2 linked regions of the Rattus norvegicus genome follow. The protein of the gene in region 1 interacts with the protein of each later gene in a biochemical or structural test. Links are inferred from orthologs where the notes say so. Each region holds a gene or a part of one and is shown in the gene's direction. Other genes may lie near its edges.

Evidence for each region. The genes of interacting proteins can lie anywhere in the genome.
Region 2: the proteins of Siah2 (region 1) and Egln3 form a complex in vitro, tested with the Homo sapiens proteins (2 studies listed by BioGRID). The link is inferred for Rattus norvegicus from reciprocal best matches to the Homo sapiens genes SIAH2 and EGLN3.

What each region holds. Positions count from the first base shown.
Region 1 is NC_086020.1:145,078,874-145,082,981, reverse strand, and holds the start of Siah2 (E3 ubiquitin-protein ligase SIAH2), read left to right. Parts: upstream 1-1,306; 5' UTR 1,307-1,544; coding exon 1,545-1,964; intron 1,965-3,493; exon of another isoform or gene 3,494-4,108. UniProt on the Homo sapiens protein: E3 ubiquitin-protein ligase that mediates ubiquitination and subsequent proteasomal degradation of target proteins.
Region 2 is NC_086024.1:77,386,874-77,390,518, reverse strand, and holds part of Egln3 (prolyl hydroxylase EGLN3), read left to right. Parts: intron 1-161; coding exon 162-298; intron 299-2,285; coding exon 2,286-2,359; intron 2,360-3,375; coding exon 3,376-3,407; 3' UTR 3,408-3,645. UniProt on the Homo sapiens protein: Prolyl hydroxylase that mediates hydroxylation of proline residues in target proteins, such as PKM, TELO2, ATF4 and HIF1A. Target proteins are preferentially recognized via a LXXLAP motif.

The sequences.
Region 1 (4,108 bases):
ATGGGTTCTGAATGGTGACTGCCTGGAGACTAGGGGAACCCTTGTAGAATTCTCTTGTTGCTTGATCGGAAGGTGGGGTGTAGATGCCCCCTGCCCCACCCCAACACCCCCTTAAGGTTTAATTTTTATTTATGGGCATGTGTGTATACGATGTATACTGGTGCCAAACGGCATCAGATCCCCTGGAGCTGAGGTTATGGGCGATTGTAGGTTCTGGAAACCAAAGTTTGGTCCTCTAAGAATAGTACGTTGAGGCATCTCTCCAGCCCCTGTAGGTGCCCTTTATTCTACACCTCTAAGTCTACATCTTACTTTACACCTCTGAGACAGTCCACATGTCGGGGTGTATAAAGAAGACTCAGGAGGAATCCAGCACCAATCCTGTCAAGCTGAGGAGGGTTGGTAACAGGTACGTTGAACTCACAATCCTTTACCTTCCTCTTAAAGCCCCAGGTAAGCTTCAAAGCCTAAGGCTTGGACCAGGACTAGATATTAAGGACTCAGATAGTAGAGGGTCTCCTGTCATTTTGGGCCTCACAAACCCAACCCACGTGTATGGTATTCCTTGGAGATTTTAATTCTCCACCGAGCCAGAGATCTCCAAGAGGTCCGGGTTCTCTTGGACCGGAGGCGGCCAAATAATTCCAAGAAGCTTTCGCCAGTGGGCTTTTGAAGGAAAACCGCGGGTTTACCTCCTAGCCTTAAGGGCAGGACCACTGGAGAGTCTACCCTCATACCTAACTGCCCGGCCACACCCGAGGCCTTCGCGCGGCTCCCGCCCGACTCCGGGTCCCGCCCCCGCGTGTCAAGCTACGGGCTGAGCAGCAAGATCGCAAGCTTCTCCGGCGCGTCAATGACTCAACCCTAAAAGAAACGTGGGGATTCCGAGCCCCGCCCCTGCCCCGCCCCACCCCTGGCGCACTCGCGCGCCGTCCACGCCCACGCCGGGCCAGCAGTTGCCCTTCTGGCTGGAGTCCTGTGCGCGTCGGTGTAGGTCCCCTGGGAAGAGTCGGAAGACTTGGGCTGCGTCCTCTCCCTGCGCTGCCGGCTGGCTTCCGCCACCGCCGAGAAGCGACCCCGCGCGGCGGCGACCGACCGAGTCAAGTGTTCCCAGCGGGAAACCGCTCCGGCGCTGCCAGCTGGGCCGGGCGGAGCTGCGCGGGCCGCAGGGTGGCTCTGCCAGTCCCAGAGTGCCGGGTCGGCCGCACACGTGTCTTAGCGTCACGTCCGCGCGCGCCCCCGGGGCTTGCGTCAGCTGCGGCTCCTGAAGCGGGTGGGCCAGGGCTTTGCGCACCAGAACGCCTCCGGAGGAGGGCACCGCACGGCCGCGATCCCCGAGAGCGTCGACCACTCCGGGCGCCGCCGAGAGGATCGGCGCGGTCGCGTCCCCGCCCTCCCGGTGCTGGTCGGGTCCGCGCCCGGTCCCCGGACTGGGCGCCGTGGCGTTACCCCGGAGCCCGCCACCCGCGGGGCGCGCACCGCCTTAACCCGGGCGGCCCCGCGGCAGGCAGAAGCCCGCAGGTCCATGGTGGGCTCGGAGCGCGATGAGCCGCCCGTCCTCCACCGGCCCCAGCGCTAACAAACCCTGCAGCAAGCAGCCGCCGCCGCCTCAGACCCCGCACGCCCCGTCCCCGGCTGCGCCCCCGGCTGCCGCCACCATCTCGGCTGCGGGCCCCGGCTCGTCCGCGGTGCCCGCCGCGGCAGCGGTGATCTCAGGCCCCGGCGCCGGCGGCGGGGCCGGCCCAGTGTCCCCGCAGCACCACGAGCTGACCTCGCTCTTCGAGTGCCCGGTCTGTTTTGACTATGTCCTGCCCCCCATTCTGCAGTGCCAGGCCGGGCACCTGGTGTGTAACCAATGCCGCCAGAAGTTGAGCTGCTGCCCGACGTGCAGGGGCGCCCTAACGCCCAGCATCAGGAACCTGGCTATGGAGAAGGTCGCCTCGGCAGTTCTGTTTCCCTGTAAGGTAAGTCCAACCACCATCCGCAAATCTGCCAAGGAACCTTCCAGAGTTCCAGTGCCCTCCAGCGCACTTGAAGGCCCTGAGAAGCGAATGGCATATCACTGCTTTCCTTCTTTCTGTCTCCTTCTCCATGTGTCTGTCTCTCTAACACTCTCTCTCTCTCTCTCTCTCTCTCTCTCTCTCTCTCTCTCTCTCTCTGTGTGTGTGTGTGTGTGTGTGTGTGTGTGGGTGTGTGTGCCTATTGTTAACCGCCCACCTGTCCATTTTGGGAACTAGCAACTAGGGTTGATGTTTGCCAGAGCACTGACTGTAGATTAAGTTGGCACTTGCTGCGGGTTAGAAGCATCCCAGCTCTTTCAACCGAGTGCCGCCGCGTCCCCTGCAGGGGTGTGCTCTGTAAGGCTGGACAGCTTAACTAAAACTGGGAAGCTGACCGTGTAGATTGTGGAGGAAGGACACGGACGGTTTCCAGCAACAAGCATGGTTAGGAATGGACCCAGTGCCCAAGATCTGGGAGCTCTCTTGAGAGTGCGCTTACACAGGGGAAGCGGATACTGCCTGCTTCACTCGAGTGCGGAAAAAATCCTGCAAGCCACGCCTTCTCGCAGCCTCCCAGACTTGGGGAGAACTCTGAAATTGTGGCTGCTGTTTGGGGTTTGGTTTGGTTTGGTCTGGTTGTTGTTTATTACCTAAGCGCGACCACGAGGACTCATCGAGGACACTCAAGAGCTTTGTTAGTTCTCTTCAGTGCCAGCATTTTATTTAAAGAGTTACCTGTGCTCCTGGGGAGTAGGGAGGAGAAGCAAACCACAAGCCAAAGTGCAAGCTCTCATTCCCTTGTTCCACCTGTTCGTTTAGAGCCTACATTTACACCCGCACAGCTAAATTAATAGAATCGTTAATGTCTGCCTCTGAAAGCTTTTTTAAAAGTACCCACAGAGATAATGTTTTTTCCCTTTTACAACCAGCTTTACAAATTAATATCCTCACCTGTTTCATGTCTGAAACTTGACTTGATCTTCTGTATTTTAAATGATAGGTTACATTTGTGTGGTTATACTGTTGCCAGTACTGAAGCCCTTAAAAAAAAAAAGCCTTACAACCTCATTTATATGCCTCTCTCTAATCTAGACCTCTACCAACGAGTTCATTTTCTAAAGTTGTAGGTGGGAATAATGTTAATATTTCTGAGATTTTTTTTTAATGAAAGTAATTGTTCTACCTGAGACAGTTTAAGTTGTCTTGCATTATCTCCTCAGTGGTGATTAGTTTTTAGGGCAAGATCTGTTTTAAACTAAAAATAGCTCACTGGAGATTTTCATTTTAGACTTCCGAGTCAAATCAGTAAAATGAGTGAGTTACTTTGGTCTTCTGCCCAACTACAAGCACAGTTAAAGTAGCTTATTTGAATAAGGGTTTGAATGAGGGTTTAGGCTATAGGGTCACCTTATTAAATTGCTTGCCTTTAGCCTCACACCCGGTACTGCTTATTAATTCACTCAGTGCAGCATCTGTGCAATTTGAATTAAATATTTTCATGCCTCCTCCTTTTATTGAAAGTAGATTTTTTCCCCTCCTATAATACAACCTGGTTACAGTCGGTCTGCCCCCCTTGCTCCTCCCAGTTCCTTCCCACCTCCCCTCCCATCCAGATCCACTCCCTCTCTGTCTCTCATTAAAAAAGAACAAGCATCTAAGGGATGATAAAAATAACATAAAGACCAGGAAAAGGCACAAGGAGTCAAAGACCCCCTTGTTCTCACATTCTGGAAGTCATAATTTATACCCAGAGGACCCTTGCAGAGGTCCTTCAGGCCCTGTGCAGGCTGTGTGTCAGGGTCTGTTCTCCATCACTGTGGGTCACTCAGGATGAACTCTTTCTAGTTCTGTTCATCTGCATTCTTCTTAATGGCTGAGTAATACTCCAACGAGTAAAAGTTCCACGTGTTCTCTATCCATTCTTTAGAGAGCCATCTAGGCTGTTTCTGACTTATGGTAATTATAAATAGAGAAACAATGAGCGTGTTTGAACAGGTGTCCCTGTGGGAGGATGAAGCACCCTTTGGCTGTATGACCAAGAGTGGTAGAGCTGAGTCTTGAGGTAGATCATTTCCCATCTTCCTGAGGAACCACCACACTGATTTCCA
Region 2 (3,645 bases), on another chromosome or scaffold:
CAAGTTCAATTCCAAAGTATGAGGGGGAATAAATAGTTATGGGCCAAAACCCACTTAAAGTTGAAGTATGGGTGGTATTTCTCCAGGATAGAGGTAACACATCATTGCTGATAAACCTCCTGTGAGACCAGGAAATAACTAATTATCTTCTTGGTTTTCAGTTACATGGAGGGGTCCTGCGGATATTTCCAGAAGGAAAATCATTTGTAGCAGACGTGGAGCCCATTTTTGATAGACTCCTGTTCTTCTGGTCAGACCGCAGGAATCCACATGAAGTTCAGCCCTCCTATGCCACCAGGTAAGAGGTGGGGGTCACAGTTCCTCTTCTAGGGTGCATACGAACCCTAGATTCCTGAAAACTAATGTCCTATATAAGGAAGTGCTGGGTACACCCCAAAACTGAGAGAACCTGTTTGGAGTGATGGAAATTGAAGGAGCCTCCTTGGGATTCATTAGCATACAAATCTGACTTCAATTTAAAGTAACTATTAACTTCCTGTTCTGTGAGTTGTGCATACCGCAGTCTCAGTCCCTTAGAATGTTTTCCCCTGTCCTTCTGTCCCTTCCTTCTCGACCATTAAGAAAAAGTTAGAGTTGCCTGGGCTTTGCGGTTCACTCCTGTGATACCAGCACTTGGAGGTTCGAGGGTTTAAGTCCCAAAAGCATCAGGGAACAGACAGAGCTAATGTTGAGCTGGCCCCCGTTACCACGTGTCAAGTTCTGCTTCTTTGAGTGAATTTACAGTCAGTTGAAGCAAAGAAAGAACCTTGGGAAGGAAAAGGGAATTTGTCTTGAATTTACTTCCTTTTCAACTCTTTCTATAGCTTAACATGTGTCTGGGCTAGCCTCATCCATGCAGTAACAATTGGATGTTATAGTTTTGTTTGCTCCATCCATCCATCCATCCATGCATCCTTGAGACAGGTCTCTTGTTGGGCTGGCTTGGAACTCACTATATAGCAGAGGATGACCTTGAGTTTCTGATCCTCCTGCCTCCACCCCCTAAGTGCTGCAGTCATAGGCATGGCCACTGCGTATAGTTTTTTCTGATGTTAGCTACGGCTTTAGGCACACAATGCAAGCATTCTATCAACTGAATAGACCCCAGACCATAATTCAATGTTCTTAAAACCTTTTTCCTTTTTATTTTTTTCTTCCCCCCTCCTTCTCTCCCCTCCTCCCTCCCCCACCCCCACCCGGGCACATGGATAAGCAGAATTCTAAAGTCAATGAACAACTTAGAATTGTAATCTTAATCTAGAAAGCCGATAAAAGCATTTACTCCTCTTCTGCCTTGAGTTCTCCCTTCTCTTCCCACACCACGGGCCAGGCAGGGAGCAGAGTGGTGTGGAGTAGGGCTTGTCCTGGGAAGGGTGTTGAGGTGGGAAAGCTGTGGAAGGATGGTGTTCAGCATTATCAAGCTTAGCCTTCTGCATAGCCCTATAGACATCCTGACCTGAGCTCCAGTTACAGATTCAGTCACACTGTGACATGCTCTGCATAAACAGGCCACGAGTCGCTGCCGCTGAAGTCTACCTGCGGCTTGTTTTATGGGGTTCAATAATAGGACCCTGTTTTGTGGCAGGATTCTCTAGTTACTTCCAAGCCCCACTGTGACCAACTTTATAGAGGAAACATTAGCAAAAGTGATCAGAAGTCCCTGGGGGTTGAGTTGGGGATGGGGTGGGGTGCCGTGGAAAGTACTGTAGCTAATGATAATTATAAAAGTAGAAGGTTTAAAAATCCAAGCATGAGATAGTGCCAATTACAGTCCCTTCCACTAAAGCAAGTAACAGGAGCAGTGGAAAGCCCAAAGGTATCAGTACCGAGCTGAGTCTTGGCACCGGTGCTGAAAACTAAAGAAAGCAGGGCGAGAGTTAGGGTGGACAAAGCTACTTGTGAACACTTCCCTCGGATGTTGTTACCTCCCCTTCTCTGTTCTCTTCCGTCATCTTGGGTCTCCATCTATTGCGGGGCAAGTCTCTTTCAGGCCTTCCTAGGCAGATTACCTTTGCCCATTGCATTCTTACCCCTCCAGTCAGTCACTGGAGCCTGAGCTCTTAAGGGAAGTTTCTAGGGATAGCATCGTTGAGTTCCCAGTGCTCGGAGCAGGACCTGGCAGTCCCCGGAACGCCTGTGTTACACAGCATTTAAACAGAATCCGTCCCAAGGAAACACTTGTACATTAAAACGGTGGTGGTTTTGCAAGTGATTTTACTGTGAGCCTCACAGAGTTAGTTCAAAGCTTTTGGTGGTCTCCAATAGCACGTGTGTTTCTTCCACAGGTACGCCATGACTGTCTGGTACTTCGATGCTGAAGAAAGGGCAGAAGCCAAAAAGAAATTCAGGAATCTAACTAGTAGGTGTCTGGCCATTTCTGCAACTTTAGTTTTATACTTTTGTAATGACACTGTTTAGTCTCAGTCGTGACTTAGCTTCATGTGTAACGATACCTAAAGCCTTGACTTTCATGCTCTTAGAGGAATCAGAAGGACACGCATGGGACATTGCCCCTTGGGATGTCCACTCACTGTGGGATGGTTTGTAATAGACAGAAATAATTAACTTTTTATTGTGACTGTTAATCAGTCATGTCTAATATAAAATTTTGCTCACGGATTTAGCATTAATATAAAAGTATAACAGATCCTAGTGCCAGTGGTATGGGATTGTGGCTCGGTATAGAAGAAGTAGGGCTCTCACACTATCAAACCGATATGATTTCACATCGTTCCTGGCATCCGCAGCCAGCATTCATAAGCCATGCTTCTCAATACTGGCTATGCTAAGCTGAGCTTGGCGGAACAAGCACGAGGGGCTCCACCAACTAGACTGGGGCAGGGGGACCGTGAATTTGATGTCAGCCTGACCTCTGTAATGTCCGGCCTCCCCAAAAAGTTATACGAAAGCAGTAATCCTACCAAGTTGGTTCATGGAAAGGTAAACTTCTGTCCCTCTGAATACAGGAAATGCTGTGTCCTGTATCCCTCTTTCGAGTAACTGAGTGTTAGTATACTGAATTGATCCTAAGACGTCCTAAACGGAAAACGAGAGATGTCGCTCAGTTGGAGCACTAGTCTAACGTGTGGCATGTCATGGGTTCAATTCTTTTTACTGCCAAATAAATAAAATGTATTTTTACATAAAGAAATTGACGTAACTCTACCTAAGTCATGACCTCTGTACCTATCAAATGCCAAGAAAAGATGGCTTTACAAAGTTCTGTTGGGAATCTCAATTAGCTCTATAAAAGGGGATGTTTTTTACTAGAGGAGTGGGGGGGGGGGGGAGAGGGAGAGGGAGAGGGAGACTTGATGACTGACATAATTCATCAAATTTGACTCCCTAACTTGTTTTTCCCTGTTTCCAACCCAGGAAAAACTGAATCTGCTCTTGCTAAAGACTGACGGTGGTGTGAAGTCCGCTGGGCGCATTCGTTTAGTGACAGTTCCTGAAATGTTAAGTGTCAAGATCCAAAGACTCTGTCCAATCCCCTGCCTACCGCCTGCATCGTTTGGCTCCCTACCTTGTTTGTGGTACTTCGTGTTTTCTTGCTGGGAATGCGTTGCCCTCCAGACACTCTCTTTGCCGGATGAACTCATTTGCTAACTCCAGAAACACCTGCAGACATCCTAGCTGGCCAGC